Linked DNA regions of Notamacropus eugenii. The protein of the gene in region 2 interacts with the protein of the main gene of each other region in a pairwise test. Links are inferred from orthologs where the notes say so. Each region holds a gene or a part of one and is shown on either strand. Other genes may lie near its edges. The genes, in order: PDGFRA, EGFR, PIM1 and CFL1.

Region 1 (7,253 bases), on a different chromosome or scaffold from region 2:
TAAGGAACTCCTTGCATCTCGTGGGGAACACCTTTGACCCCTCACTAGCCTCAAGGCAGTCTTTACTGAAACACATCCTCCTTCTCTCTCTCTAGAGGACAGGCTTCAAGTGCAGGGTGGCCCAAGGCAACTCGAAGCCTTTGGAGCCTCGGGCTCCGAGGGCCTGACGGCCTGAGGCAGAGGCGGATCCCTTCTGCACCCCCTCCTCCCGGCCTCAATTCTCTTCCCCAGAGCTGAGAACAGCACATCTGTGCGCCACATCCCCACACCCTCCGAAGAGTTTTCCCAGGAAAAGATTCCCCTCCCCACCCCCAACTCGCCTCCACCATCCCAGCCCTGCAGGGAAGCGACTCTGTTGGGCTGCGTGCAGAAGGGGCTCTGTGTGTTGTTTAGTTGGGAGTGGGAGATGGGGGAAGGGGAAGAGGGCTGCAGTGACATTTCGTTTGTAATCTCACCAAATGGTTTTTGGTTTTCGAAACCTGAACCAACAAAGGAAAAGTGTTCTCCCCACGGTTCCCTTCTCTCCACCTCCATCCCAACCCCCAGCACACCAGCCCAGCTGAGCTTTTAAATTATTGTCATTTGTTCGGATGATTCCGTAAGTATTGCCCATGCTTTCTCTGTGCCAAGAAACTGCGTGGACGTCACAGATGAAGTTCCTTTTGGTGGGACTGGGGGTGAGCAGAAGGGAAGGAATGAAAGAAAGGAAAAAAGAAGGGGAGGGGAAACCTCAAACAGCCATCTCTCAGTCAAAACTGAGAAGTTCTGAGCAGTGGAGAGCTCTGGTTTTAATTCTTTGTTGTAATACCAAACCTGGACTCCAGCAGCTTAAAGGAATGACGAATGAACGACTTTGGTGTAATCTCTCTCTCTCTCTCTCTCTCTCTCTCTCTCTCTCTCTCTCTCTCTCTCTCTCTCTCTCTCTCTGCCTCCCTCTTTTCTTTTTCATCTCTCTCTCTATGCCTCTCTCTCTCTGCCTGTCTCGCTGTCTCTGTCTCTCTCTCCCACTTTCCATATACTTATTTGCTTCCTCACTTCACCGACGGCTGAAACGTCTGAATCTCAGGCTAGCAGCGTTCTGAACTCTTGCACCCTCCTGGAGCAACCAGGACATCCATAGACTTTACCAGACCTCAAGTCTCAGTTGAAAAACCTCATTCTTAACCCCTTATCCCATACCCCTCCCTCTCAAAAAAAAAAATAGTAAGAAAAAAAGCTAATACGGGCGGGGGTTGGGACCTTCACACGGCGCAACGCCTTAAAAAGGGCAATAGGAATGGGGATCGGGCCCGAGCGGGTCATTCCTCCTAAGGGCACATATGGTGAGTGCGTGGCACCTCCTATGTTTTCTATCAGTCAGATACCCAGATAAGAAACAAATAAACAGTAGTCTGACTTAGAGGCAGAGGCTTCTCTCCCTATTCCCCGGCTCGCAGACCACACAGGACAACCAAGTACGTCGAGGGAGCAATCTTGTAGCATCTTAGAACAACACCAGGGAAAGGTCCATCCTAGCCCTTTCCAGCCCACAGAGAGCCAACCAAGCTGATTGACAGGCGTAGAGCGAGGTCGTCCCTGAAATCTAATACAGGGACCGCAGGGGTCGGGAGAAATTGAAGCCAAGGATCCCAAGCTGTGGAAATGGCTGTCTTTCTGGCAGGCCTCGTTGCAGGCTCTTGCAGGGAGCCTAAATGCAAGGTCTTGGTGGGTTTGTTTTATTTTACTTTTGGACGGGAGGGAGGCGCATCATTGGCTTCTCCCCATTTCCTCTCCTTCTGGTCTCTGAGAGTGGCTCTCTTGGAAACAACAGCCTTTCTTCCATTTGCTTTCTCCCTTTCCTCCTTACCCCCTACCTTAGCTCTATGACCAGTCAACCTCAGCTCGCTTCAACCTTCTGAGAATGTCACACATGGAAACCTTTAGCAAATGTTTGTTAATGATCATAACAAAGACAGCATTCAAATTAGGCAGGTAATTACAAACAGAAGGACAATTGGGTGCTGGCTTGCTCATCTATTTTCTTTTTCTTTAAAGTGAGGTTACCGCCGGACACTCCCGCCTGAGTCTCCATGTAGGCGAATAAAGCCAGGGCTCCATAAAGCGACTCTGAAATGAACTGTGAAGTTACCATTTGTGGGCGGGCAACATTGGGGCCCTCAACTAGAGAGGAAGGCGCGACTGGATGCCTGTTTAGCTGAAGCAAAGCAGAGCCTGGAACCCTGATTTATTGTGTTCTCGTTCCTTTTTCCCCATTTTCAACGTTGTTTTTAGAAAAGGTACAAATAGCACCACCTACCATTGTGGATTTTTTTTTCATGATCTCCCTTCTTTTGGGGGATGGAGTAGAGAGGGTCGAGAGTCTCTTTGGTTCTTTGTCTACAAGCATTACGGTATCCTGTTAGCATTTCGAACAAGGGACTGTTCATCTATTTGCCTCCAATGATTTCCTGAAGGAACATGTGGAAGCAATAGTGGGGTTGTGCAGTCACCCAAGCTGAAGATGCATTAGAGGAGAATATGCAGAAAGGACTCGAGGCAGCAGGGACTCTCAGGCTCAGCCCTAGGGTCTCCCTCCTCTCAATTCTGTGGGATCACTCCACCGAACCCCTTAAGGTTTGCACGCCAAGCTGAACTTCGCACATCAGCCCCCCCAATTTTTTTAGGGGGTGCAAGCTGGAGTTAGTTTTCTATTCCCCTTCTCCCTACACTTCAGCTGGGAGCTGGGGGCAAGGGAATGCTTGGACTGGGGAGATGACATAACCATGTTTCTTTATGAGACTTCTCTCTAAAAACTCTGCCTGAAAAGACGGAGTGGTAACATTATTCGAAATACATTCGTGACACCTTTCCCTCTCCCAGCGCACGAGCACACACACACACACTCTCTCTCTCTCTCTCTCTCTCTCTCTCTCTCTCTCTCTCTCTCTCTCTCTCTCTCTCTCTCTCTCTCTCTCTCTCTCCCTCCCCCCACCCCCCCCCCGTGTCGAGAGAGGGAGGACTGTTTTCTGGAGCGGCAGCGCCCCCTGGCTCACAGAAGCAGGATCACACACACCACTTGAAGGAACCTCGTGCGGAGCTCGCTTCCTAGAGAAGCTTGCATGCAGATGGCCCTCAGTTTTCCTCCCTTGCTCCTGAGGTGGAGAAATAGAGGACTAGGAAAAATGCCCTCCTCCCGATCTGTTCTTGCAGAAGGGAGCGCTGGAGGAGGGGGCAAAGGGCTCCATCCCCCAATGCCCATTTTAAAAAGGATCTCCCACATGCTTCATTCATCTCAGCCTTCGCAGAAGCCTGCACCAATCTTCCAGATTCCAGATTCCCCTCAAAGACAAAGCACGGAAAGATACGTGATTTTAAAAAGTTAAAGATCCTACATCAGCTCTCCATTCTTTATGTTCTCATCAGACCTATCAGGCTGCTCTTGGAAACAGCCATCAGCAGCAGATCGCACCAAAAACATCGTCTACATTACCTGTTCTCCTAAAGACTCAGGGTCAAAATGACCCAGTGACTATGTGCGATCTACGAGGGACCCCATCTTTGCCACACCTTCCTCGCCCCCTGGCCAGAATCTAGCGAGCCCCACTAAATATTATTCCTAAATGTAATTTGTTTACTCTGGAGGCTGTATCCACAAATCAACATTTTTTTAAAAAAAAATTACCCCAAACATGCAGCAGAGAAAAGTTCCATTAAGTGTGCAGAGTTCATTCATGAAACTGTGAGCAGTTTGTATTTTAATGAAACTTTTCCCCCTGCAGCGCAAGACTATCAAAATACATCCCCCACACCCTGCACCCCATATGGCCAACTCGTCCCTCCCCACCCCCAGTTGTTGATAAAGACTGGAGACTGGAGGTGGACCCCCTGCCTAAGTAAAAGAAGACAGGGAACACCCAAAGCTGTAGGCAGAGCGTCTCCAAACTCCGAATATGAGAGTCAGACTCTTATTTTGAAGAGGGTTGGAGGGGGCTTCATTCCTGACAGCTATTTACTTAGAGCAAATGATTAGTTTTAGGATAGACTTTAACATTGAATCTATTACAAAACGCGGGTTTTGAGCGCATTACAGTTTCAACTAAGAGAGAAAGAAACAGGAGGAGGAAACAGTTATAGGAGATAGGCATATATATATAATTATATCTAAATATATTTTTTACTGTGCATGGTTTTCATTGCGGATTAACGTAGAGGAGAGAAGGTAAGGGAGGACAAATTTTTGAATTTTCGACTTTGTTTTCCTTTCGGGGGAAGTTAGGTCCTGAGGCTGGAAGAAATATGGTAATTTCACAAACTTTGACGATGGGGAAAAAATGCTGGAGCTGATCTCTGCATTCAGAGAGTAATTTATCCTAAGTAAACCTGGAAAAGTTGGGAAGCAAAATTACTTGAAAAGAAGAGAGAGACTGAGGACTTTTAAAAAATTAGTATTTTTCTAGCCTCCTTTCTAGGGCCCCCTCCCCCTTAAAAACTTGAAATTATTTAAACATCATTTTGAGATAGGAAGAGGGCATTATTTAAGAAGGCACTGAAGCGCTTTAATCTGGTATTTCGCTTTTTTTTTCTTTTGTGGGGGCGGATTGAGAAGGAATATAGGTCTTTTGCCCTGCTCCTGGTGACCGTTCCTGGGAGATGGCATGTTTTTAATGAGTATTTTCAGTTCTCTCGGGGGTTTAGCTGATCGAGGCTGCCCGCTCTGTCGAGGGAGGTCCAGACTAGTTTTGGGACAATTTGGAGAAGGGAGGTAGATTTGTGAGAAGAGAGTTCCAGAGGGAGTAGTGTGACTGGGTGAGAAAGGCTTTGCTGGAGGTATCCTGGGACCTTGGATATACGGACTGGTTGGAGAACTGGGGACGCCAGGGGTGCGTTCGTAATTACTGGACGGCGTTCTACTCTGCAACAAGGACTCAGACCCAGGGGAACCGCGGCGGCTGAGAGGCGCTCTCCGGGGTTATTTGCGTAGGGCTGGGAGGGGGTGTGTCGAGGTTTTGGGGGGGGGGCACTCTGCTGCCCGTTAGCCAGGGACTCCTAAGGCGTCAAGGAAAAAAGTCGCAGCTCTGCAGTGATAGAGGGCTCTCTACTTCGAGAAATGGTTGGATGGATGATGGATCTGGTCTGGAAGAGGCGGCGGCATTGGCTGGCTGTCTGACTGGCGGGGGGAAGGAGTTCTGGCATTAATGACAAACACATTTGGAAGAGAGAGCAGAAGCCGTCGTCGCACCGCATTCCAGAAACCTGGGATTTGAGGAATTTCGAGCTGGGATCAGGCTCCTTTCCAGGAGTCATTATTATTATCGTGAGCGTATTTAAAAAAAAAAAATTATTCTGGAGTATTGCCGTTCTCTTGGATTCTCTGGCAAACCACGGCAACAGGAAGGAAAGTAGGAAAATCGCCAGAAAAGTGCCGGATAATTTCTCCAAGCAACACATGTGGGGAGTTTAGGGGAGGACTAAGCTGAGAAACTTTTTGCGCAAGGTAAGAGATGGACTGTGGGGCGGGCCCCTGTCTGTGGTCTCCACAGCCTCTTAAAAAAAACTACAGCCACCTAACGGGGTCCCCATCTCCAACCCGTTGGTCCAGGGCCCCTGGCCTTGGCCCCTGCGCGCGTCTCTTCTAAAACTTGTGGCATTGCCTGCCCTGGTGTCCCTGGCCTAGCCTCGCTCTTTTCTTCTCCCTGCTCGCCGCCGTCTGTTCCTAGTCTCCCCAGAGTCCGTCTTTTGGCCTCTTTGCCCGCCGCGCTTCCTTTTCCCCCCATCGTCTATCCCCATGTAAATCGGGTTTTACACGTGAGATTAACTTCTCTTCCGAGCGCCAGGGCGCGGGCACTGCAGTCGGAAACAATTGACCTCGGCTGTTCTTTTTGAGAGGCTCGAAGGCAGCCGAGGGAGAGGGGCAGATTCTATTGCCTGGTGGCTGCCCTGACTGAGGTGGCCAAGTTTCTGGGGCCGTCTGGCTCTGGTCTCCGGGAGCCTCTTCTCTGGGCTTGTCTACGTGACCCCCTCTTCCGAGTTGCTCATTCCCTCTGTTTTGGGGAACTGAGAATTCACCGAAGCACCGCTAAGGAGATCCTGTCACATCCCGATTCTGGGGTGTAGGGGAAAAGGCGGAGGGCAGAAGGGAGTGGGAGTCAGCATTACGACCCTTCTCTTTTGGACGGCGCCCCTTCTACTGAGATGGGTTCCCTTGGAAAAGTCTCGCGGCAGGGAGGCCTGGGAAATGGGGTTTTGGGCTCGTCAGCCAGTGGATTGCTCAACTTTTTTGGAACGAATAGCCTTGGGACCATGATCACTCCATGATAAAATTGGACAGCAATTTGGACTGAGTGGAAAGGGATACAAGGTATAATGGAGAGACTCCAGTCCATAGGCTTCAGCTACACAACACAAGCCCCTCCCTGCCCCTAAGGGAAGGAGCAACAGAGTGGGGGGTAGGGGAGAGGATAGAGTGAAGGGGGAGGTTCTGGGATGACCACAAACATCAGTTGCCTCAGTTTTCTCTCTCAGCAACTGAATGCCTTAGACTGAGACATCTCAAATGCCAGATTCCCACAAGCCTCTCTCTTCTCCACCCGCTGTCCCACATTCAAATGCAGCCTTCTTCCAGATAACCACTGGAATATTCTTTTTCTTTCCTCATTGCTTTCAAAAATCGAGGTTGCCTAACCTCCACTTTGCCTCTCTGTCCAGACCCAGCTTCCTGCTGGCTCTTGGTTCTTAAAATGTAATTTAAATTTGAGACTGAGAATAGTGAAGGGAAGAGGGAAAAAGTGTGAAAGCCTGAGGCCCCCCCCTTCTAAATTTCGAAGGACAAGAATCGGTTTCTTTGCTGAGCAGATAAAAACTCTGGACTCCCCCCACTGAACGCCCAAACCACAGCAGCTCTGAGATGCGTCCAGCTGTGGGACCTGAGGTAGGGAGGGGAAGGGAGGAGGAAGCAACAGTTTCTAGTTTGGGAACGCCACTGGCGCCGAATGGGGTGGAGAAGTGCGCCCCCTGGGCCTCGTCGACTAGTAGGGCCCTGGGAGCCTGGAGTCCTTGAGTAAAAAGAACACTCCTTGTTGTCCTATCTGTTTGTGATGAGAAAGTCACGAGTTTTGTGGAAAGAAAATTTAGCAACCCAGCGTGAGCTTGGCGCTAGCCTGGCTGTGGCACAGGAGGCATCAGCTGTAGGAGGATCGAAGGCGGGCACAGTCAGGGTCTCGCAAGCTTTCTTCTCCTCCCCATCCCCCCGCTCCCCCAGAGGTGGGTGTGGGTCG
Region 2 (8,066 bases):
TTATCTATCACAAGGGTGAGTCACAGGGGTTGAATTGCTTGAGACAAAAAGAGAATGAAGGGTAAGAAATCTCGGTCCTGGGAAACTCCTAGCTTCTATTGAGTTTCAGCTCATGGACATTTTCTTCCTGCAAACCTTTCCTGATCTCCTTAGCTGTCAGTGCTCATTCCTTCCTTATCCAGTTATCATATATACGTACACAGTATCCCAAAAGTCTTAGTACAGTCTTAAACTATCAAAGGCTTTTGAAGCTCTTGTTAAGATATTTCAGTCATGTCCAACTCCTCATGACCACATTCGGGGTTTTCTTGGCAAAGACACTGGAGTGGCTTGCCATTTCCTTCTCCATCTCATTTTACAGATGAGGAACTGAGGTAAACAAGGGTGAAAGTGAAGATCCTACAGGTAGTAAGTGTCTGAGGCCAGAATTTTTGAACAAAGATGAGTCTTCCTGACTTCCTGGCTCTGGGCCAGATGCTCTATCCACTGCTCCATCTTGGAACACTCAAGTTTCAGCTATTTACATATTGTGACCCTTATAGAATTTCAGCTGCTGAAGGTCACCAGCTGACTTTTTGTGGGCTGTTTTGTCTTGGGGGGGCTCAGTGACCAGTCCAGCATCTTGCATGTAGTAGGCACTCAATAAATACTGGTTGGGTTGGATTCTATAACTTTGGCGAAAACTGTTTATTTTTTTCCTAGGCAAGATTCAACATAATTTTTTTTTACTCAACATTTCTGGGGAAGTATTTCGGAGTGTTGAGTAAGCCTTGAAAAGTTATGATCACATTGAACTGCTTCACCAACCTTAAGCTAATGCAGATGGCTATGGCAAGACCTGATTGTTCTTATGAGAATTATTTCATGCATGAAAGTGCGTCAGCACAATCACAAATTACATGTTCCTTTGTGATACCATCTTAATATACTACAGTGTCTTTAATACAAGGAGAGTGCAGTTCCCCACAAAGAAACAACACAAGACTGCAATGTGCATAATTGCAAACTCCCCAGCCCAGCATTTAAGGCCTTGTACATTCTACCTACCTTTCCCATCTTATCTCACCTTGTTAGCATTCACACACTTTGGGCTATCAGCAGTTTCCTGATCTAGACCATCCTGCACTCAGTGCATTGACTCAGGCATTTACTCACATCTAGAACACACCCCTTTCTCCTCATTCCTTCTCTTCCTTCTGGTTTCATCTTAGGTACCACCTTTGCCATAAAATCTTCCCTCATTCCCCTTCAGCTGATAGAGATTCCTCAACTTTGTCTATAATCCTTAGTATAAAGAGCTGGAATCTGAAAAGTCTGAAGCCAGATACCATGCTAAGGACAAGTCAAATCCCTTCTTTGGTTTTCTGATCCCTATCTTTAGAAAGTGAAGGAATTAAACAAAATCCTCTCTAAAGTTTCTTCCAGATCAAAGCAAACAACCCCAAGCCAGGTCTTAGTAAGCAAAGTGTGGGGAGGCTTGGTGCAAACTGAATATCTTGGGGAGAGATTGCTGAATTTGGGCATGGGTGTAGTCTGATAGTCACTACCCATGTAACCTCAGGCTAACCATATAACCTCTCCTGGCCTCAATTTCCTCATGTGTAAAATGAAGGATTTGGACTAGATGGCCTCAGACATCTTTTCTATGTTGTTATGATCCAATGAGCCTATAAAAAAATGGAAGCTCTAGGTAATTTCAACAAATTCACGTCAACATTTTTAAAGCTTCTGTGCTCAAAGCATTGATTGTATGTGCTATGGACACCAATATTCTTATATGCTACAGGGGGAATACAATGTGTGCATAAGAAAAAGAGAGGGTAATTTGATGGAAAGGGAAGGACCAGGAAGGACTTCAAAGGGCAGGTACCATTTAAGTTGAACCTCTTCTGCAATGAGAAGGCATTATAGGCATTGTACATGATTTGTTTGAATGTATGGGAATCAAAGAGAGAATATTAAGTTGGGCAATGACTAGTCATCCAATCTGGCCAGAATAGAGTAGGTGAAAGGAAATACGGTGAAATAAGGTTGAAAAGGTAGGTGAGAACTAGATTGAAGAAAATCTTAAATGCCATTTTTTAAGAGGCAGTAGGGAGTCAGAAAAGGTTTTTAAATAAGGGAATGGTCAGACCTCTACCTTAGGAAAAGGGAATGTGATCAAAAAAAGAAAAGAGAATGTGGTGTAAGGGAAGATGTAGGGGCTTTGGAGTCAAAGAACATGGTTCAAATGTCACAAATCTCTGTGACAATGAGTAAATTACTTAACCAGAGTTTCCGCACCTGTAAAATAAGGGAATTTGACTAGATTGTGTCTAAGGTTACTTCCAGCATTAATTCCCCTTTTTCCCCATTAATTCTTTTAATTATATTCACAGTTGTATGGAGGATGGTTTGGAGAGGAAAGAGATGGCAGGGAAAACAATTAGGAGGTTATTGCTATAGTCTGGGTGAGAAGTGTTGGTGGCCTAGAATAGAGTGGTGACCTTTTCAGTGAAGAAAGGATATGGATGTGGGAGGGAATCTGATTTTTTTTTAATACTACCATCTCAAAAATCAATTGTAATTAGACAGCTAAAGGCTGAGTTTATTCCTTTTATAATTAGTTTCATATTAACTTTATAGAAGCAATCTTTCTATTAAATAATCTTACTAGTAAATAATTGGTCAATTAGCCTTTAATCAAGTTTCCCCCACCCTACCCCAGGACGCTCTCTGCCATTCACCACAGTTTCTTTCTAAGGGTGAAATTTTAAAAAGGGGAAATAACTATCATTCATAGTTTCTGCACTACCATAGTCTACTTCCTGAGCTATGGGACTAATTCCAGGTTCTATGCACTTTACCATCATGGGAGCAACAAGATGATTAAGGTTGCTGAAAGCCAAACACAAACCTGTGTGGGGGGGGAGGAGGGGGGGAGCAATGGGGCATCAGTGGGCTTTGGGGGGAGGTTTACAAATGCCCAGGCCTTGGAGAACACAGAAATAAAAGGCACTGCTTTTTGCTACAATGAATACTTTTTGTTTTACTCCTTCTTTGTCTCCTAATTTTGAACTTGCAAAATCTGTTTTACTGGGATGTTAGTAGTTAATACACACTTGGGAACTATTTGTGAACTTTGAAAGATGGGGGAAGAGGTTAGAGGAAGCTTGGTAAAATCTTCACGATAAACTGAGGCAAAAGGGCTACATGACGTTAATTCTTTAGCAGATAATAAATCAGTGTATAAAAAGTAAAAGAGGGGAATCACTCTAGAACACTTTAATCTTCTTTCCATGGTGACATGCGGAAGGATTCCTATTTCCTTAACAAAATAATTTGTGATTTTCCACTTTTATACACATACATACATCCATACACAGATACATAATGAGAATATGGAGGAAGAACGTTACGTAAATAATTGACTAATGGTCACTGAAGAACAACGCACAGTCTCCTTATCTATCTTTTTTTGCTTAATGTTTTTTCACCCCTTGCTGTGATTTCCCAAAATCACCTCCTTAGCTTCAGACATTTTGTAACATTCAGTTACCAACTTTATAAAACTCCGGGTCTTCTTACTTCTGACTTGGAATTTAAAATCCGGCTATCCTTCCACTAATATTCGCCATTTGATTTCCACCTAAACATTAGACTTTTAAGCTCTGGGGTCGTCTGGCAAAGATTTCCCAGCCCGCATACCCTAAAAGGGAGAGGAGGGAAATGTGATGAGAAATATTAGGAACTGACCAAGTTTTGTTTGGTTTTGTTTTTTGAAAAGTTAATGGGTCTGGGGGAACGTTTGCCTCATGAAGTGAACCTCTCCCTCACCTCCACCCTCGAGGGTGAAGAAAGGCTATGGAAAAAAGAAAAGCAGCTCTGTCCTTTCTCTCCTTTGTGGGAGATGCCCACAGAGGCAGAGTACGTCGTTACCTGGCCAAACTTCCGAAAACTCTGAATCACACACTTAGGCAAGCTCTGAGTCCAGCCTTCTCTTGGGCGGACAGCGCTCACAGATTCTGGTTTTGCGCTGACCACCCTTCTGCCCTTCCGGCCCAGTTCACTGTCGCCCTGAAATCCTCCCACTGTCCCCTGCTTGGCTCTATCCCTCTCCACCGGGTGGTGGTGACCCTACTAAGAGGGGCAGCCTCCTCTCGGTCCCTGTGACGTAGCTCAGTTTGTTTGATGGGGATTCTCTAGGGAGAAACTCGCGAAGTTGGGGGAAAGTTTTTTTCTTTTGTTTTTTATGTTTTGTTTTTTCTGAGAACTGGGAAGGGAAAGGAAGGAGAGGAGAGAGTGCAAGAATCAGCTGTGGGTCGGAACCACTCTCAGCCTAGGTCAGGGTTGAGGAAACACCCTCAGCGCTTCTTTCTCCGCCTCTCCCCCACCTCTGTCCCAAAGGAGAAGGGAAAAAAACGGAGCCCACACTCACAAGTGTGTGCTCAAGGACTCGGAGTTGACAGCCTGTCTAGACCCCTACCCCACCTCCGGTGCCTAGCGCGGTAGGAGCTCCAGCTCGCGCACACGCACACACACATAGGCACACACACAGGCACACACGCGCACGCACACAGGCACACACACACACACACACACACACACACACACACACACACACACACACACACACACACACACACACACACACACACACACACACAGGCAGGCTAAGGGGCAGCGGCCGCACCGCCTCTTTCTCCTCCTCCCTCTCCTCCCCCCTCTCCACCTCCCCTCCGGGCGCTGCGGCGGCAGCAGTAGAAGCAGAGCGCCTTCCCGGCATGGTCTGCTAAGCCAGCCTTGTCGGGCAGCCCGAGTCCGGGGCAGAGAAGGCTCAAGGGAAGCTTTCCGACGCCAAAGGAGGAAAAGCAAGAAGCAAACGCCCCGGCCTCCTTGGGATTGATTCTGCACTTGGCAGAAATCTACCCTCAACGACATTCCGCCTTCCCTTGGCCCCCGGGCGGGGAAAAGGGGTTGTTGGCTCGTGAGATTACTTTGGGACCATCGAACTGGGACCGACGTCGATCCGGTGCGGCGATGGGGCTCTCTGGGGCTGCTGGAGCCGCTGTCCTGGTGCTGCTTGCCGGACACTTTTCCCTAGGCACGGCGCTGGAGGAAAAGAAAGGTAAAGGTGTCGCCTTGGCCTCCCGCCTCTCCGCGTCCCCTGCCTGGCCTTCGCCCTCACCTGGTCTCCCTGCCGCCAGCTTGCCTGTCCTCTTTCCACACCCCGCCCCAGCCTCAGCCCTTGCTAGCCGGCTGCCGGTCTCCCTCCGGCTCGCTAGTCCCAGTCGGCCGGCGCTCCCCTCCCCTCCCCCGTTTCCTGCGAGATCAGCTGTGAGCTCTGGCCAGCACCCCGGTGGGAGCTGAGCCTGGAGGGGCTGTCCTGACAATCCTGTCTGGCCCAGAGAGAAGGGGGTACTGAGGGATCTCTGGCCGGGGAACTGAGCTCCCGAATGGAAACCTGGTGTCCAGAGTCACTAGTTCCCGGGCGCGCCCTCAATCTGGCTGCGCGAGCTCCATCTGCGTTTGCACAGGAAACTTTCTCAGCCGGCTTTCGTCTCCTTGGCCCGCGCCGTAGACTAGCCGGGAAGGGGTGGGGGGCGGCTGGAGGCGGGGAGGCGGGGATCGAGGTAGTAGAGTTCTGGGGGTGAGGGCGCCTTGGCATTGGCCGCACTCTGGGGATGACACTGTGCAGCGGGGATAAAGGGACAGGGTCCCATGTGCCCCCCACCCCACCTCCACTCCCCCCTCACAGCCCTCATACTTCCCAGGACAGGTAAACAAGAGGGCATGAGATGCCAGGCTAGAGAGAAGTCCCACCGGTTAAGTGCTACTAAGGGTGTCTGTCACCTGTCCAGTCCTCTGGACCGGCTCCCTCGTTCACATTTCATTACTCTCTTTCTGTAGCCTGGATTGTCAGCAGTCCGGGGTGGGATCTGTGGGTGGTGGGAGTAGACGGAACCCTCCTCCAAACACACTAAACCAATAGGGAAAAGAGCCCTCAGCCCCATTCCCATTCTTTACTCTCAGGTTCTCCGCCTTCCGTCACCCTCATAACACTGCAGGATTTGGACTTGCTTCTTTTTAACTGTAGCTCTGTGCGTCTGTTTGTCTGTGTCTCCCTCCCTCCTCTCGCTCTCCCCCTCTCCCTCTCCCTCTCCCTCTCCTCCCTTTCCCACTCCAGTGACTGTCGGCCTGTGCTTGATCCTTCCCTGCTCTACAAGGTGCGCAGGTCTGTGTAGGATTCAACTGTGCAGCCGGGTCGCTCCCTACACTCACCTTTGGTTTCCTCCCTACTACCCTCCCTCTCTTACTTATTCCCCACTCCTGAGTCGCTTCACGTTCTTACATGCTTCTTAAAATACTTTGTTAAACTTCTAGGGGGCAATTCTGGAATCGTGGATGGTTTCTCTAGGGTTTCTTTGGAGAATGAGATATTAGATTATAGAATCCTCAAAACCATCTGATGACAGTAATCCCTTATAAAGATTCCAGTGCAAATCGTTTGGGGAGTAACTTTCCAAATGAACACTCCATACTCTTTCTCCTCTCGGGAATGGGGTGGGGAGTAGATAATCAAACCACACACCGGTTGAAAGAAACTGGTAAAGGTCCACCATTCTCTCTGAACCAAGCATGAGAGAATCTGATTTCGTGACTACTGTCAATAAGCTCCCTTGGAACAAGAAACATGCCTTAGAAGATTCTAATTGCACAATCTTAAAATTAAGGAACTCGTGTTCCAAGAGTCAGGTTCCGACCTGTTGTTGATGTCATTGGCACAGGGTGTTGGGGTGTGTGTGTGTGTGTGTGTGTGTGTGTGTGTGTGTGTGTGTCTGTGCTGGGGGTTTGTTGTGGGTTTGGTTTTTTTTTTTTTTGTGGGGGAGTTACATAAACTTCTTGACTATGTTTGCCCTTCTACGGATAAAGATGTTTTGAGACAGTTTATTTTATCAAACTTGCAAAATATAGGTGAGAGGGTGAATATTCTCGTCCTATACTGGGGAGTGAGTGGTCAGTGTTGAAAGATCAGAGCTGTTGTTTTTTCATTTAGTGAGTAGCCCTCAGATTTATCATCACAGATTTGGATATTTTGACAAATGTAAAATGTCTTCCCCACCCCCTCTTATTTTCAAAACTAATGCTATATTAATCCACTTTCCCTCACATTTAAGATTCATAGTTTCAGGAAAAAAATTCTTTTTTTCTCTCAGGTACAAGAATAATACCTTGTACCTTTCTAGGACCAATTGTAATTTTACTGTTCTTTTACTTGAAGGCATCATCTTTCTGATAAAATATTTTTCACAATACTTTAATGGTTGACTTTTGAATATCTATGTCTGAAAACTTTCTAGTATTCTATACTTTAAAATGCTTCAGCTGTTTCTGAGAAAATATAATTTGTTCTCTTTTTGTATCCATTTAAAGTAGAATGCCTTTTAATGTGGGGATAAAAAGAACCAAACTCTAAGAAAATGAATGTGCACATAGGATAGTAAAAGGGAATGGTTAATTTCTCAGTACAAATTCTTTAGGTTTGAGTGAGCCTATTTTAGAAAGAGTATTAGTTATGATCAGGTGCACTTAAATTCATCTATGCCTTTAATCAACAAAGTCTAATCAATGTCAATGAGAATATTTAAAAGAAATTTGTTTAGATCTTGAAAGCAGAAATATTTGTGCATTTAAAAGAATAATGACAGGTATGTGTGACTTCAACCTTTCGACCTTGCACAGATAACACAAGACTAGAAAGGGAAATGAGCTGAAGCAGATGAGCACCCTCTTTTGAAAGTCAAGGCAAACCTCTCCTTGTCACAAGTCCTAGATTTGTCCCCCAAGTTCTTTCCATTCTTTCTCTTCCCACCCTCTTCTATCCAAAATGATCTCCTTTCAAGGAGGCAGCTCAGGGGCTAAATTAGAGGATGAGTATTGATTTGTGTCATGGCACAAAGCAAACCCTTTCACATATTGTTGCCTCTATTGCAAAACTGAGGAGGAAACCACCGACTTGGGTCCTAAGGTAGGGTGGCTGCTGGGAGAAACTAATAAAATGTTGTAAACTTTTGCAAATCCCCAGA
Region 3 (8,325 bases), on a different chromosome or scaffold from region 2:
AACTAAAGTGTGAAAATAGTGCAACAAAATTTGGACCACTTTTAGAAAGACGGCTCACATCTCTATAAGGCACCACAGATAGTACTTTCCCCACAGAAAAACAACAACAACAAAAACCCCATTATTTCATAGGTAGTGCAGGTATTGAGGTAGACAAGTTGCACAGTAGATAGAGTGCTGGGCCTGGACTCAGGAAGGAACTCATTTTCCTGAGTTTAAATCTGGCCTCAGACATTTACTAGCTATGTGACCTCTGGGCAAGTCACTTAACCACGTTTGCCTCAGTTTCCTCATCTGTAAAATGAACTGAAGAAGGAAATAGCAAACCACTCTATCATCTTCGCTAAGTGGGACACACCTGAAAACAACGAAGGTACAGGTATTAGGGTCAGGACTAAGGTTTGTGATTTCGTTGACATAGAAAACTCTCAAGAAGGAATCTCCATCTTCCAAAGTAGATGAACACCTTTACTGAAACTTGGAGTCTAAGAGGAAAACTGAGAGTGACATGTCTAAGGTCAAACAGCCACCATGTGTCAGAGGAGTCACTTGAGCTAAGGGAGGTCTTCTAGGCTTCAAGGCTGGCTCTCTACGTACTACTCTATGATGCCTCTCCTACAAGCACAGTTAGTACTCCATTTTTGATGCTGGGGAAACTGCAGCTCAGGAAGTTGAAAGGAGTTAGAGAGTAATTGATCATGAAGCTGGTAAAGACTCATGCAAAAGGGCTTACTCAGACAGTAGGATCTGCATAATACACACAACACTGCAACAAGGTTTAATATTGATCCTAAGATTTCTCTTAAAAGTCATCCTGTAAAGCTTCACTTTCTCCTTTCAATGAAAATAGGCAGCTTTAGTGAGCAGGGCTTTTAAAGGGTCTAAAAATCTTAGCTTCAAGCTCAGCTTTGATACAGGCTGGCTGTAAACCTGGATGAAGCCCTAAACCTCAGTGCTCCAGGCTACTCTCAATCAAGGAATATTTACTAAGAGCCTACTGCCTTCAAGGTATTGTGCTTATATGCTATTGAAAATGTAAAATAACAATAAAATGTAGCTATATACGCAAGGACAAATGGCTCATGTTTATATAATCTTTATAATTTACAAAGTTTACGGTCGCACACTTGGCAAAATACAGTGAGAACTCAAATCTTTATCATTTGAAGAGCAGTGCACTTAATATCAAAATCATACTGCCTCTGAGGCGGTTATGCTGGAGGTTAGGCAGACAATGGATAAAAAGTAAAACAGCAATAAATAACACAACAGTACAAGACATGCCACAAGGTTTATTTTTTATTATTATTTTATCACCAAATATGTAGAATAGGCAATAGGAGAGTAGAGTAGGCTAGGAAGGCTCCATGAAGGAGCTCAGAGCTGAATTTTTAAGGAGTAATTGTTTGGAGCAGCTAGTTTGCTCGGTGAATAGAGCACTGGTACTGGAGTCAGAAAGACCAGAGTTCAAATCCGGTCTCAGACACACTTACTTAGCTGTGCCCCTGGGCAAGTCACTTAACCTCCGTTTGCCTTAATACCCTGGCGGGGGAAATAGCAAACCACTCCAGGATCTTTGTCAAGAAAATTCCATAGACAGTATTGGTGTGTTATGGCCCACAGGGTAGAGAAGTCCCGACAAAACTCAACAATAACAGTACTTGATTAGGATAGAGGAAGCGATGAGGTTGAAAAATGCAAAGCATATTTAGGAATATAATAGGATCCTAGGAGATAGAACAAATCCAATTTAGATTGAAGTGATAGGCCCTGAGATCAAGGTTCCTGAGAAATAAGGCCTGTCTGGAAGGCTGGGCCAAGTTAAAGAGTTTGGAGTCAGTTAGTCTTTTAGTGTATTCATTCATCATCCATTTTAATAATATGTACAAAGGCAATGAATGTTGGGACAAACTATGTCTCATTGTCTTAACATCAAACATTAGATTTCAGCACCAGTGTGGTGGATTGGGAGTCGAAAGACCTGGATTTTAAAATTCTATTTCAGACACTTACTATCTGAGTGCTAACAGACAAATGAGAACCTCTCAGAGTTTGGTTGGATACTATTTGTACTTAAGTCAAGGGATTGTTCTGAGGAAATGATACAAATGTGAGTTATTCTTAATTAATCCATAACACACAAACAAGAAAATGAAAGGAAATTGACTAACAAATGTGCTACATAAATAACATGAGCAAATAACAGCGCCAGGTTTTTAGTAAAATATGTAAACGTTACAGTTGACAGTGGTTGTCCGTCATTCAGACACTTCCCTATTTTTCCTTTCAAGCAGCAGCAACCTAAGCATGAAGTATTTAAAATAAAATCCTGCTCACTAAACAGTTTTATTTTCAAACCTACTATGTTCAAGATATGTGAAGGAGGAATTAAGGAAAAAGTGATAGTGCTATGCATTTAGACCATACAAAGACAAAACAGCTCCTACCCTCAAGCAGCTTACTAACGTAAGTACTGAAGGGATAAAACACCTGTGCCCACAAATGAAAATACAAAGAAATTTCAGAATGGACTAGAGGAATGGGATCTGAACTTTTGAAGGAAACCTGGAATTCCAGAAAGAAATAAGGGGAGAAGTGCATTCCAAGCCCAGCAGGGCAACCTCTGCAAAGGAGATGCAGATTATACTAACAGAGGTAATAAAAGGGAACAATATGAAATAAATTCAGAATCATAGGTGGGAGCCTGATTTTGGAGGTGCTCTTTCATTGGAAAATCCCTGCCAGATGGAGGAATTTGTATTTTGTCCTGGAGGCAGCAGGGAGCTACGGAAGACTTTGGAAGAGAGGAATGGGGAAACTTAGATCAGCAGGATGGAGGCTGGATTGGAGAAGGGTGACTGGAAGTTGAGGAACGAATTAGAAGGGATGTGACTGGGTGATAATGAAGGATGCTGAAAGCACCAGGTGGAGGGGAGCAAAGGGAGGGAGGTGAGTCCACGACGTCTGGAGCGAGGTGGGAACCCGGACGCCTTCAGCAGAAGTAGAGAAGTTTGCGGGATGCTTCGGGGCGGTGGCACGCTTAGTGAATTCCGTTTCGGACCTGTGGAGTCCGGGTGGAGGTGCTCCGTTCTCATCCGCGCTCCCCCCCGTCATCTTAACTCAGTGTGTTTCATGGTTAGACATCCTCTTAAAGGAAGGAGGGAAAATTCAGTGGCTCCTTTCGCACTTTGTTAGCAGTTAGTGCACGGTTAGGAAGGTGGGGCCGGAGCAGGCTCGGGACGAGCAACATAGTAGCAACAAAGCTGGGTGTGGCCAGGGTGGGGGAGGGAGGTGAAAACTGTGAATGAAACCGGGAGCTTCCGATCCAGATGGGCTGGGACTCCGCTCGCAGGAGCGGGATGTCCCCGTGCCACCGCACCCTGCGCAGGACCCGGGCTGAACCGCGTCTGGAGCGGAGGCGGGGATGACGGCTACCCTGGCCCTCTTTTCTTCTTTTTAATTGTACAAAGTATCTAAATGCCACCTCTTGTAGAAAGGCTGAAATCATCCGGATGGATAAATAACCCTTCCCTTGGTTTTTGAGAGTTCGGAGCCCACTTTTGTTCCAAAGACCTATGAGACATCCCCATTCCTTTGGTGACTCACAGCCCTGCAGTGCCACCCTCCACCCCCTCACCCGCACCGATGGGCGCTTGCCCTTCAACCGCGGGCTCCCCGGGAGCGAAGCCCGCGTCCACTGAGCCAGGCAGAGCGGGCATGGAGGTCACGCACACACAAACGCACACACACAAAGACACTCACCCCCCGTCCCCGACCACCCTGCTCGACATACACACCCAACCCCCTCCGCTGCCACCAATCGTCCCCGAACTTGGTCTACGGCAAGCCTGACCCCAAGGCTCTACCGCATAGAGAAAGAGAACGGGGCAGAGGAGAAGAAGAGACAGAGAAAGGGAAAGAAAGGAGAGAGGGGAGAGGGGGGAAGGTGGGGGAGAGAGGGAGGAGATGGAGAGAGAGAGGGAGGGAGAAAGAGGGAGAGAGAGGGAGAGGTGGGCAGACCCCAAGCTTCCTTTGATGGCTTTTGTTATTGTTTGGGTTTGAATTGATAAGCCCCTCCCCATCCTTCCTCCCCGTGGCCCTGCACCCGGCTCCCGCCTCCTCCTCTCGGAGCCCGCACTTCTCTCGCCCCTCCCCCTCCATTTTGGCGCCTTTTCCTTCCCGCCACGTCGAGGCGGCGTAGCTACCATTCTGACGGTGGGGGGAGGGGGCCTCTGGGGGCGGGGCATTTGCTTTATGCAGATCCGCTGGGCTCTGGTTGGCTGGGGGCGGCCTTGCGGGGGCGGGGTTTGGTCGTGCCGGCCGTGCGGTGGGGAATTCTCCTTCCCAGCTGCTTTCCCCACCCTCCACCCCCCCTTGTCTTCCCACCAGCGACTCGGCAGCCGGGCGCCCCGCCCCCGACCGCCCCGCCCAGCCTCCCGGAGAGGCCCCGCCCGTCCGCTCGCGCGCCCGCCCCCCGCCCCCCCGCTCCCGCGCGCTACGCCCCCTTTACTCCTGGCTGCCGGGCGAGCCGGGCGTCTGCGGCGGCGGCGGCAGAAGCGGCGGCGGTGGCGGTGGCGGTGGCGGCGGCGGAAGAAGTCTAAGAAACAGCAGGGACGGCGGCGGCGGCTCCCGGGGCAGAGGCGGCGGCAGCAGCAGCGGCAGCCCGAGCAGCCCCAGCCCGAGCAGCCCCAGCCCGAGCAGCCGCAGCACCAGCCGCAGCAGCAGCAGCAGCAGCGGCAGCGGCGGCGGCGGCGGAGGCAGCGGCGGCGGCAGCAGCGACGGGCCGGCTTCTGCAGCGGCGAGCTCGGCACCGCAGCGCCGCGGGCTCCGCTGCGGCACACTGATCCCGCCAAGCCGCCCCGGCAGCGCCCCCACCCCAATCCCCGCCTGCCCCCCCACGCTCCGCCCGGCCCCAGCGGCGTCCGCCCCATCGCCCTGTCACCCCTGTACCCTGGGATGCTGCTGTCCAAGATCAACTCCCTGGCCCACCTGTGCTCCGGGCCCTGCGTGGAGCTGCACCCGGCCAAGCTGCCTCCCGGTGAGGACCCACCCCGGGGTGGAGGGCGGGGACCCGCACCGGACCGCACCGGACCTACGGGGCAGGGAGGACGGCGGGGTCAGGGGCGGGGAGCCGGGGCAGGGTGCCCGCCGGCAGGGCAGAGCCGGCGAGGACGAGGACGCTTGGGGAAGGGGCGTCCCGGGAGGAAAGGAGATGCGGGCACTGACGGGGGGGTGCCGGGATGGGCAGGGGGCCGCTTCCAACAGTCCCTGACGGGGCTTTTTCCTCCGTAGGGAAAGAAAAGGAGCCCCTGGAGAAGCAGTACCAGGTGGGCCCGCTGCTGGGCAGCGGTGGCTTTGGGTCGGTCTACTCGGGCACCCGGCTGGCAGATGGCGCGCCGGTAAGCGGGCTCCGAAAACGCCGGGGAGCCCTCCCTCGACTCCGCCTGGCCCCGGGTCCGGCTCGGAGTGGAGGGGGAGGCGGAGGGAGAGCTGTGCGGGGGCGGGCCTGGGGAGGGGGCTCGGCGCTAACCTCCGACCTTCCCCTTGGGGGCTTTGCAGGTTGCTATCAAGCACGTGGACCGGGACAGGATCTCGGACTGGGGGGAGCTGGTAAGTGCCTGGGACCCGTGTCTTTGGGGGTGGGGGCGTGAGCCTGGCTGTGTCCCCGCGTGTCTCCTGACCCCCGTGACTCTTGTCCGCAGCCCAATGGCAGCCGAGTGCCCATGGAAATTCTCCTGTTGAAGAAAGTGAGTTCGGGGTTCCCGGGGGTCATCCGACTTCTGGACTGGTTCGAGAGGCCCGACAGCTTCATCCTGGTGCTGGAGCGCCCGGAGCCGGTCCAGGACCTCTTCGACTTCATCACGGAGAGGGGAGCCCTGCAGGAGGAGCTGGCCCGGAGCTTCTTCTGGCAGGTGCTGGAGGCTGTCAGACACTGCCACAGTTGTGGGGTGCTGCACCGAGACATCAAGGACGAAAACATTCTCATCGACCTCAACCGGGGGGAGCTCAAGCTGATTGACTTCGGGTCCGGGGCGCTGCTCAAGGACACCGTCTACACCGACTTTGACGGTGAGTGGAGACCCCGGGAAAAGGCAGGTGCTGCCCTGACCTACAACTGTCCCCCTCCTCAGGGGCCTTCTTCGCCGACCTTTTTCCAAAGGTCATCTTGCCTGGCTGGAAGAAGCGGGGCCGCTTCCAGAGGGTGGGGCGGGAGACAGCAGACCTTGGAAGTTGTGCTGTGCGCTTAGAGGAGACCCCCGACCTAGCCTTTAGGGCTTTGATAGGCTCAGAAAGGAGCGAGCTTCTGCTGTCTGTATCGAGAACCTGAGTTGTGGCGTTCCCCTCCTAACCTGCCCGCTTAGTTCACGGGGAGACCGGCTTCCACCAAACCTGACTTGTCATAGCCCAGATTTTAAAATCCTGACCCACTTTCCCGAGCACTGAGGGGGTGTTGAGGACAGAGTGATGAGGGGAGGGAGAAAGGGCTTTGGAAAGGGAATTTGCTGGTAGTTTCTTGTGGGTGGTCTCGGTTTATTTTTCTTTTGAACTAGCTGAGTCAGTCAGGAAGGAGAAACTGTTCTCTTGTCTTTTCACTAAATTATTCATTCTGCTGGTAAAGGTGGTAGTGGTTTGTTTTTGTTTTTCAGTTCAGGGATGAATGTTGTGAAATAAGATCTGTAGATTTTAAAATGAGTTCATTCTGCCCCCACCCCCTCCCGCTTGATCTCACCACTCTCCCCTCGCCCGGTGCCAAACAGAGGCATTAGGGTAAGGGGAGGGGTTTGGGGCTGGTCCTTTCTGCAGCAGGGAGGAATGTGGGAGCTTCCCTGCACTTGACATCAAAGAATAGGAGGGGTGGGGAATGATCTGAGAGGTTGAGGCGAGCAAACTGCTGACTTTCAAAACCTGTGACTCGGGCTTGCGGTTTGTGTTTATTTGCCCTTGGAAGATGCTGGGCCTGGGCTGCATTTTTTGTATTTCACAGTTAATGGCTGGCAGGACCCTCCCACCTTTCCAGGCCTCTGCTGCCCCCTGGTGAGCGAGAAGCAGGGGTGTGCCTTTTTTTTTTTTACAACCCAAAGTTTGTAAACAGGAATCACGTGGCCTAGAAACCAGCCCTACTGCTCTGACCTCAGCCTACTCTTCCTGCCTGGGGAAGAGGAGGTGGTGGCCAGGAGAAGAGGGCGTGGGCTTGGGCTAAGCACATGCTCTGGGCATAATAGCATTTACTAGGGCATGGGAGCCCAATTTCTGATGTCATGGAAGTGTACCAATTTGGATGAGAGTCAAGTGTTGGCAACATTTGAATTTACTTTTAAGAATAGTTGGTTGTAAGTATGTCAGATTTCCTTAAGACCTACTCTGATTTTTATTATGGGTGGTCTCCTGAAAGGTGGGGGGGCAGGTTCGACCTTGGCATTTAGATTTGAAAAATGGGCTTAAGAGATCTAGTCCAAATCTCCTTTTTTACCAAAGAGGAAACGTGAGACTCAGAAGAATCCCTCATTTACCAGTTCTCCGAATGTGGTCAGATGCTTTCTGAGCATCAGTTTCCCTGTCTGTAAAATGGAGCTTTTATTTGTACATCTGCTTCAGCACAAGGATATTTTAAAAGTTTTTTTAAATTATTGAAATCTGAAATCACATTCTAGATTACTTGAAAGTTTTAAATTCTTATATTTAAACATAAGCTTAATGTTTTCAGTTCTGGATATGGTGCCAAAGAAGAAAGGAACCTAAAAGCAGTGATAGCTTTTTTAATTGTTTATTTTTAGCATTTTTTTAAAAATTTTGAGTCCTGCATTTTTTCCTCCTCTCCCACCCATTGAGAAGACAAGCAAAAGGTAGCAGTTATACTTAAGAAGTCAAGTCATAGATATTCCAAGTGGTAGTCCAGGTTGTCTCTTGGAAATTATTAATTGTTCATAATAAGTGTTTCTGTCATAATAGGTTCTGTACCCCCAAAAGGAAAAAAGTTGGGATTCAAACTCTATTCCCTATATATTCTAGCATATAAATTTGGTGATCTGTTTGTGTTTGGTGTCTATCTTCTTTACCAAAAAAAAAAAAAGTCCTATTTCTTGAAGCAAATTTTTACAGAACTTAAGTTTATTGTTAGACATCCAGGAAATATCATGAGCCACCTACTATTCCCTTATTAATCCTTAACAAACACTTAGCACTCGCAGTATGAAATACTTGGGTTAGAAAACTGTATACCATTTTTTTTTCTCTTTGGTTAGAAAAATAGCATGTTTTCCCCTACTAATCTCCCATGATGTATTTTGCAGGGACGCGGGTGTATAGCCCACCAGAGTGGATCCG
Region 4 (7,734 bases), on a different chromosome or scaffold from region 2:
CCCAGCAAGCCAGCGGAGTCTTTCCTTCACTAATGGAAATAAAGCTGCCTGCTTTGGACCCAGCATGTTGTGTGCTCCCTTGAGGCTGGCTTCACGGGAAGCTAGCTCCTCCACAGAGTGAGAAGCCCCTTCCCAGTAACAGGCTCATCTGGCAGAGTTCCTCCTGGGCCCAACTCCAGGGAAAAGAGACTCATAAAACCAATAGCCCAGAGATCAGAAGGCTTGGGAAGGGCCCACCTTAGGTCAAACTGTAGGGAAGATCCAGAGAAGACGGCTGTCTTCCAGCCAGAAGGCACCGATCAAAGCCCCAGGCCCAGGCAACAATTCCGTCAGAACTCGGGAGAGATGGTAAAGGGAACCTGCCATACTTTACCATCCCCAAATCCCTCCTGCCCAGCCCAGAAAACAACTACCTGCAGAGCAGCTCACCTTTTCTTTATTTGTCTTTTTTTTAATTGAACTTTCCTTTTACTGGCCACATGAGTAACTGGGGGAGGGGGGGAGGGGAGCCGGCTGTGTGGGGGAAGGGATCTCCACAACATTCCATTTACACACCAAACTAAACAACAAGCACAAAGCCACTATTACGGTTAGAAGTTGGCAGCACCGGGGAAGGGGGAAAACTGGGGGTGTCAGTTAAAAAAAAATACTGGCCTCCCCCCCATCTGGGCATCGGGGGGACCTTGGTCTGCTACAACTCAGGAGGAATGAGAATATCAAAGGCGGTTTGGGAAGGCCAGGGGGTGGTTTGGCAAAGGGGTGAAGGGATTGCCCTGCCCCTGCTAGGATCCCCCCAGCCCTTGGGTCTGGCAGGAAGGGGGCAGCCTGCTCCCCCACTGGGCTTGGGCAGCCCCAGCAGGAGGGCCAGACGTGGGAGACTCACAAGGGCTTCCCCTCCAGGGAAATCACGGCATTGCCCCCCAGTTTCTCAGCCAGGGTACAGCGGTCCTTCACTTCCTCATAACAGTTGGCTTGTAATTCGTGTTTGATTCCTGTGAGAAGGAATGGAAATGGGCGAGTCAGAGCCAAAGTGCCCTCACTTTACAGATAAAAACCCAGCCTTGAGCTTCCAAGGTCCCACCACAGCCAGTCAGGCTTCTCACCCAGTTCTTCAGACCCAACGAAATTCGGCCTTGAGCACCAAAGAGGGTTACGCTATTGGGAATGCCATCTCTCACACACGCGCCCGCACACACACACCTGTCAGTTTCTTCTTGATGGCGTCCTTGGAGCTCGCATAGATCATTTTGCTCTTGAGGGGGGCACACTCAGGGGCCCTGGCAGGAGAGAAAACAGTCAGTGCCCAAAATTCCCAGTGCGTGCCTCTGGGCAAGCCTGGCCTTGAGGGGCCCACCGCCCTCAGACTCACCAGAAGATGAACACCAGGTCCTCCTTCTTGCTCTCCTTGGTCTCGTAGGTAGCATCGTAGAGGGCATAGCGGCAGTCCTTGTCCGGTAGCATCTTGACAAAGGTGGTGTAGGGGTCATCCACAGTCTGCCCCACGTCACCCACCAGGATCTCCTTGCCCTCCTCCAGCACGATGTTCTTCTTATCCTCGCTCAGGCAGAACAGCACGGCCTTCTTGCGTTTCTTCACCTCCTCGGGGGTGGAGGACTTGCGAACTTTCATGTCGTTGAACACCTTGATCACCCCGTCCGAGACAGCCACGCCAGAGGCCTGTGGGCACGGAGGGGAACAAGTCAGCAGGTGCTCGGAGGCTTGCCGGGCCTTTGCGGGGCACGCTCCCGGCAGAGGCGCTCTACTCCTCGTCTGACTAAACGCCGCAGAGCCCACGCTGACCAGCGTCAGAAGGCAGGACCTCAACTCTGACCTTCTGACTCTCGGCCGCCCCGAGCCCCCGGAGCCCCCGGCCCAGCTCCGGCCACGCCTCCCCTCTAGCTCAGGGGCAGCTCCTGCCTAAGGGCCGCAGATGAGGGCTCTGGAGCCCCCCTGCCCCCACAACCGGGGACAGAGCCTCCCGGGCCCCCAGTTCCAGGACGGGGGTCCTGCTCTGGCGCTTCCCCCTACCACGACACCAAAAAGGCCCCGAGGAAGCAGCCGAGATCGGCGCCGCTTCCTGAGGGGGAGGGGAAAGAGCCCGCCCCAGGAAGACAAGCTCGGCACCCCCTCAGGAAGGGGGGAGGGGTCCGGCCCAGGCCTTCCGGACCCACTTCCCCAAATTGGGCATTAGCCTCGGAGTGCCCCCCCACCCGGCCTGGGGTGGGCAGCGGCGGATCATCCTCGCCGGAAAGGGCCAGGCCGCCCCCAAGGCATCACGCAGGGCCCGACACCCCGCCCTCCTCCAGCTGCGGAGCCGCGTGCTCTGGGCTGAGCGCGCGCCCCCTCTCTTTCCCTTCCTCCCCCTCCCCAACTGCCCCTCGTTTTGCTTCAGCCCTTGGAGGTGCGCGCATGCGCGACGCCCCCGGGTACGGGGGCCGCGCGCGCCCCTAACCCCCCCCAACACTACATAACGGTTGGGAGGAGGAGGGTCGCGCGCGCGCCCGCTGCACCCAACAACCGTCAACGTCAGACGAGCACGCGCGGGGGGGGGCGTCGGGGCGCGCGCGCGCCCGCCCGGCCACCCGCCCGGCGCGCGAGCCCCTCCGCCAGCCGCCAGTCTCGCCCGCGGCGCCCCAGGAGGGGGAGGGGAAGGGATGGGGAGGACGGAGGGGAGGATGGAGAGGAGGATGAGGACACCGCCCCGCCCGCTGCACCGCCTCCACCACCCCCGCTGTCGGGCGCCGGGCCCCCTCGGAGCTCTCTGGCCCGCGCTCACCATGGTTCCGGAAAGGAGCGAGCGAGTGAGGGAGGGAGGGTGAGGGAGGAAACGAGGGCCACAGGAGAGGAGGGCGTCGCTCCTTCGCCGCCGCTGCCTGGAGCCGACTGAACGCGGCCTCTCCCGGCCCCTTCCGTTTAGTAGGAGCCGCACAATGAGAGGCGGGGCGAGCTTCCGGCGCTCTGGAGACGGGGCCGATGGGAAATGAAGTTCGGAGGCGCTGCGCCGCCCCAGGGCACGCCGGGAAGTGGAGTCTCCCCAGCCATGCTAGACTGCCCGGGGAGTTCGGGCGTTCGGCCCCCTGCGGAGAGGGGCGGGGCCAGGAGCGCTCCACCTTGGGTTGGTGTCCCGCCTCCGCTGCTCCGCGACGTCGGCTCGGGCGCCCGGGGCGAGAGGCCGGGGCTCTGGGCCCTTGGATCCCATTCCCAACGTCACAGCTGCCCAAGGGTCCCCAGTTCTAGTCCCCATTGTACAGAGAGGAAAACTGAGGCTCATCTCTTATCTCTCGTTGTCAGGAGCTGGGCACCACGTACGGCAGACGGAGAAACTGAGGCAGGAAGCCGCTGACTAAAAAAACTGGGCTTTGACGTGCAGCCTCTTTCGGTGCCCATAGGCTCATCTGTGCTTGCCTCCGCAAACACGACCAACCAGGAGACCGAGGGGAGGGGGTACACCACTCATGACTGGGTCACCGAGGGTGGGGAGTGCGGGGGGAGGAGCAGGGGATTTGCGCCCCCATGGCATTCCCTCGGAGATGTGAATGGCTGAGATTTTCGGCACTAGGAACCGAGCCTGCAGAGCCCCCCATTTCACAGATGGCATAACTGAGGCCCAAAGCCAAGGCGGTGAGATCCGCCCGGAGCCAAGGCAAGGTGGCACCCATCTTCTCGTACCTCTCCCCGCGCCCCGTCGCTTTCCGTGGGAGGGGAGGGGGCGCGGGCTTCGCGGTCGCCCTGGAGACCAGCCCCCCCCTCGCCTGCAGCTCTGGGATGCCCCAGATCGCCTTATTAGGGCATGAGCCGGGATGGGGCGGAGCCAGGCAGAGCGCCCGTGCACCGCTCCTTATATGGAAACTGAGCCTTATATGGAAACTGCGGGAGGGCAGGCCCAGGGCTGGCGAGCGCCCGGGAAATCCCTGGCTGGGCAGCAGCCGGGCGGTCGGTGACCTCTGTGCCTGCCCCTGGCCGCTGCAGTGAATGCAAAGCGCGAAGTCGGAGACCCGTCCAGCCTCCTCGCACGCTCCCTTTGTGAATTCTCTAGCTCTCTTCTCCTCTGCCCATCCCCCGGGCTCTGTCCGGAGAGCACCCGCTGCAAACGTCCAGGGCTCGAGCCGGACCCCTTGAACATAACCCGGGCTCTACGGAGCCCCCTCTGGACATCCCCCAGTCTGTAGCCCAGTCCTTTTCTTGCAGATTCCCCCCCACCAGTCGCCTTTGCACATCATTGGGGATGTATTCTTTCCTCCCCGCCCCCACCCCCGTGCAGATCTCCCGGGCTCCAGTCCCCTTTGTGAATTCTCTGGGCTTTATGCCCCAGCTCCAGTGCCCTTCGCTTCTCTAGGTTCAGACCCTTCCGCACGCCCTCTGGAGGCTCCCATCCTCCCTGCAGGCGCCGAGGCCGATCCTGCAAGAGAGCCAAGGTGAGAGCGGTTTTCTTTCGCCCTCCCGACCACAGGGGGCGCTGTTCCCGTTTCCCCATCCGCGCAGCACTCGTTTATCCCTTCCTTTCTCCTTCTGCTAGAATGCGGAAGGGGTGGGACCTCGGTTCCTGGGTGCTATGGTAGGGAGAGCCCAAATGCTGACAGCCGCGGGGGGAGCTGTGTGAGAAGCTCAGCACTCAGAAGTAACCATTCGTGGGCGGGGGGGGGGGGGGTGATGTCCACACCTTCCACCTTCGGGAAGCCTGAGAGCCGGGGCGGGGGCTCGGGTCACGTGGCGCGCGGGGAGGAGAGCGAGGCCCCGCCCCCCACCCGGAGCGCCGGCCGTTCTAACTCGAGTCAGAGCTGAGCTATGGCCGCGCCCGCGCCCCGCCTGGGCCGGAAGCGGCCGCTGCCCGCCTGCGCCAACCCGCTTTTCGTGCGCTGGCTCCGCGAGTGGCGGGACGAGGCGGCCGGCCGGGGCTTGCGGACGCGCTTCGTCTATCAGAAGGTGGGCCGGAGGGTGGGGGTGGGGTGTGCCCGGTGAGGTAGGAGCCTGGAAGGGAGTGGGGAGGGGCCTGGAAGGGGCGGGAGGTGGGCGGGGACTGGAGGGGTGGGCGGGGTCTGGAAGGCCCTGGAGGTGGGCGGGGCCAGGGCCCTGGGGGCTGACCCGCCACACCAGCGCCCCTGCACCTCCAGGCCCTGCGCTCCCTGCTGCGCTACCCCCTGCCCCTGAGGAGCGGGAAGGAAGCCAAGATCCTGCGGCACTTTGGGGATGCGCTGTGCCGGATGCTGGACCAGAGGCTGGAGCAGCACCAGGAGGCCGGCCGGGGTGAGGGGGGCCTGTCTGACACCCAGCCTGGATCTGCCTGGCCGGGCACCAAGCTAGGGGGCGAGACGAGGGGCGGGGCTGGCCTGCCGCTCTGACACCCTGGCCCTTCGCTCCTTGGGATCCAGGGGTAGCAATGAACCTAAGCCCTGCCACTCTTGTTCTCAGGCCCCTCAAAGCCTCGATATCCCCTGTTCTCAGGCCCCCCCCGGCCCTGACATCCCCCGTTCTCAGCCCCCCCGGCCCTGACATCCCCCGTTCTCAGCCCCCCCCCCCGGCCCTGACATCCCCCGTTCTCAGCCCCCCCCCCGGCCCTGACATCCCCCGTTCTCAGGCCCCCCCGGCCCTGACATCCCCCGTTCTCAGCCCCCCCCCCCGGCCCTGACATCCCCCGTTCTCAGCCCCCCCGGCCCTGACATCCCCCGTTCTCAGCCCCCCCCCCCCCCCCCCCGGCCCTGACATTTTTGTTCTAAGCTGCCCCTGTTCTGATGCTGTGGTTGTTTCCTCAGGTCTAGGCGAGCTGCGGGTCTCTGAACTTCCCCAGGTGGGGTTCAGCACACCCCCAGAGGATGCAGTCCCTTCTCAGTCGGTGAGAAGGGACCCCCTAAGGCTCACAGGGTTGGGGGGGATGGGAAATCTCTGGAAGAAAGGGGAGCTCAGAGCAGCCATTTAACATGTCCAGCCTGGGGGTGGGGTGTCCAACCCCATCGACCCGTGGAGGAGCTGAGAATCTGCCTAGGGCAGTGGTCTGGAGGCAGCCAGCACCAAGGGGCAAGAGGGAGGGAACAGCTTGGGGGGGGTCAGGAATCCTTTCCTTTTTCAGGTCCCCCCCCCAACTGAGCTTTGAAAGAAGCTAAGATCCTAAGGAGGGAGAGGGAGGAATGAATGCTGGGTGCGCCTGTCATGTTGAGATACCAAAGACACCAGAGAGGGAATGGGAGCTGGGTCCCACAGTGGCACCCGAGCTCTGGCATTTTAACCAAGACCTAGGATGGAGATGTGTGGGAAGCTAGTTGTGTGGAGGCTGGTTGGCAGTGGGCAGAGGCTGGGGCCTGAGAGATAGTCATCCAGGGCAGCAGTGAGGAGGGGCTCCAGGTGTGTGTGAAGAGGAGCTCTGCATGTCAGAGATGGGTGGATGATTGACAGGACTGGATGCCTGGTGGTATCTAGGCAGGGAAAGGTGGCCAGCCTATAAAGATGCCCCCAGGGGTGATGGCAGGAGCTTAGGAGAAACACTGAAGGTCACGTGGACAGATTACAATAACGATAACTGAACTGTGAGGAGGTCACCGAGAGTGGGTGGAGAGATGAAAGCCTAGGATGGAGCCTTGGAGAATGCCAGCTTGGTGCCAGCAAAGGCTTCTGAGGCCATCTGAGGGATGAGCCTCCCCTTTGGGGAGGGGAAGGCAGTCTCCAGGCAGGAGAATTGAGGAGGGGTGGACAAGGAAACCATCACCCTGCTCTGGGTCTGGGAAGCTGTTGGACTCAGGAGCACCTCTCCTCTGCCTGATGTAGGGCCCAGGCCAGCCCAAGGCTGGTGGCCGCAGCAGCTACAGGCCACCCCGACACTCAGCTGCCCGGGCTTTGCTGCTGATTCTCTACAGGGAGCAGCTGGTAAGCCTGGGATGGGAGTGGGAGGGTGGGGAGAGGACAGGGACACAGCCTGGAGGCAGTTCAATGAGACCAGGTAGGGTTGGGGACAGGGATGGCCCTGGGGGACACTGACCCTCTGCCTCTTTTTTGAGGATCCCAAAAGCCCAGGGTTCCTGACCAAGGAGGAGCTTCTGAGGAGGTGTGAGCAGGAAGCACCCAGGGTAAGAGCCGGGGATGGCAGGGGTCCCCAAGAGGCCAGAAGGGAGGCTTGCTGTCCACAGCCCTGCCTTGGCCTTTTCCTTTGGGGCTCATGAGAAGTTAGCCACTCAGTGACTTTGCTGTGGAGCAGAGTGTAAGGCGAAGGGCCAGTCCTTAGACATAGTCTAATCCAGCTCCTCAGTTTATAGGAGGGAGAGACTGAATCTGAGAGAGAAGAAAGAACTTTCATAAAGCTCCCCCTGCTCAAGTGGGATACATATGGGGTCCTCTGACTCCAGCCCTGGGGCCTCCTCACGGGACCATGGGAGATGACCCTTATCTGCCTCTGCCTCTTACTGGTCAGGTGACCGTTATCTGCCTCTGCCTCCCTGTCTGGTCAGGTGGCCCTCAGCAGCAGCACCCAGCCCTGGCCATCCCTGCGTTCTCTCCTTCACAGAAATCTCATCCAGAAGAGCCAGCAGCCAGCCAGGTGAGGCCCAGGGCTCTGGTGCTGGAACCCTGAGAGGGCTCAGACCTGGGGCGCCAGGGACCACATCCTCCCTTGGCTCTCCTGCCTTCCTCAGGTACTCGCTGACCCCGGAGGGGCTGGAGCTGTCCCAGAAGCTGGCAGAAGCCGAAGGTCTGGGAGAACCATTTGCCAGCCTACAGCCGAGATCCAGCCAATCCCCTGGGAGGGAGGCA

The links.
Region 1: the proteins of EGFR (region 2) and PDGFRA interact in binary tests that used the Homo sapiens proteins (3 or more experiments, as listed by UniProt). The link is inferred for Notamacropus eugenii from reciprocal best matches to the Homo sapiens genes EGFR and PDGFRA.
Region 3: the proteins of EGFR (region 2) and PIM1 interact in a protein complementation assay, tested with the Homo sapiens proteins (3 studies listed by BioGRID and IntAct, with this or other methods). The link is inferred for Notamacropus eugenii from reciprocal best matches to the Homo sapiens genes EGFR and PIM1.
Region 4: the proteins of EGFR (region 2) and CFL1 interact in binary tests that used the Homo sapiens proteins (3 or more experiments, as listed by UniProt). The link is inferred for Notamacropus eugenii from reciprocal best matches to the Homo sapiens genes EGFR and CFL1.

Annotation. Positions count from the first base shown.
Region 1 is NC_092877.1:105,671,120-105,678,372, forward strand, and holds the start of PDGFRA (platelet-derived growth factor receptor alpha), read left to right. Parts: upstream 1-4,003; 5' UTR 4,004-4,198; intron 4,199-4,239; exon of another isoform or gene 4,240-5,473; intron 5,474-7,028; exon of another isoform or gene 7,029-7,239; intron 7,240-7,253. UniProt on the Homo sapiens protein: Tyrosine-protein kinase that acts as a cell-surface receptor for PDGFA, PDGFB and PDGFC and plays an essential role in the regulation of embryonic development, cell proliferation, survival and chemotaxis.
Region 2 is NC_092874.1:420,224,106-420,232,171, forward strand, and holds the start of EGFR (epidermal growth factor receptor), read left to right. Parts: upstream 1-4,713; 5' UTR 4,714-5,019; coding exon 5,020-5,107; intron 5,108-8,066. UniProt on the Homo sapiens protein: Receptor tyrosine kinase binding ligands of the EGF family and activating several signaling cascades to convert extracellular cues into appropriate cellular responses.
Region 3 is NC_092873.1:94,838,094-94,846,418, forward strand, and holds the start of PIM1 (serine/threonine-protein kinase pim-1), read left to right. Parts: upstream 1-4,956; coding exon 4,957-5,038; intron 5,039-5,292; coding exon 5,293-5,399; intron 5,400-5,559; coding exon 5,560-5,610; intron 5,611-5,702; coding exon 5,703-6,069; intron 6,070-8,291; coding exon 8,292-8,325. UniProt on the Homo sapiens protein: Proto-oncogene with serine/threonine kinase activity involved in cell survival and cell proliferation and thus providing a selective advantage in tumorigenesis.
Region 4 is NC_092873.1:18,552,592-18,560,325, forward strand, and holds CFL1 (cofilin-1), read right to left. Parts: upstream 3,014-7,734; 5' UTR 2,780-3,013; coding exon 2,777-2,779; intron 2,321-2,776; exon of another isoform or gene 2,211-2,320; intron 1,678-2,210; coding exon 1,370-1,677; intron 1,278-1,369; coding exon 1,201-1,277; intron 993-1,200; coding exon 880-992; 3' UTR 419-879; downstream 1-418. Other genes in the region: crossover junction endonuclease MUS81, read left to right, coding at 4,786-4,923, 5,112-5,244, 5,751-5,830, 6,757-6,855, 6,987-7,055, 7,434-7,522, 7,617-7,734.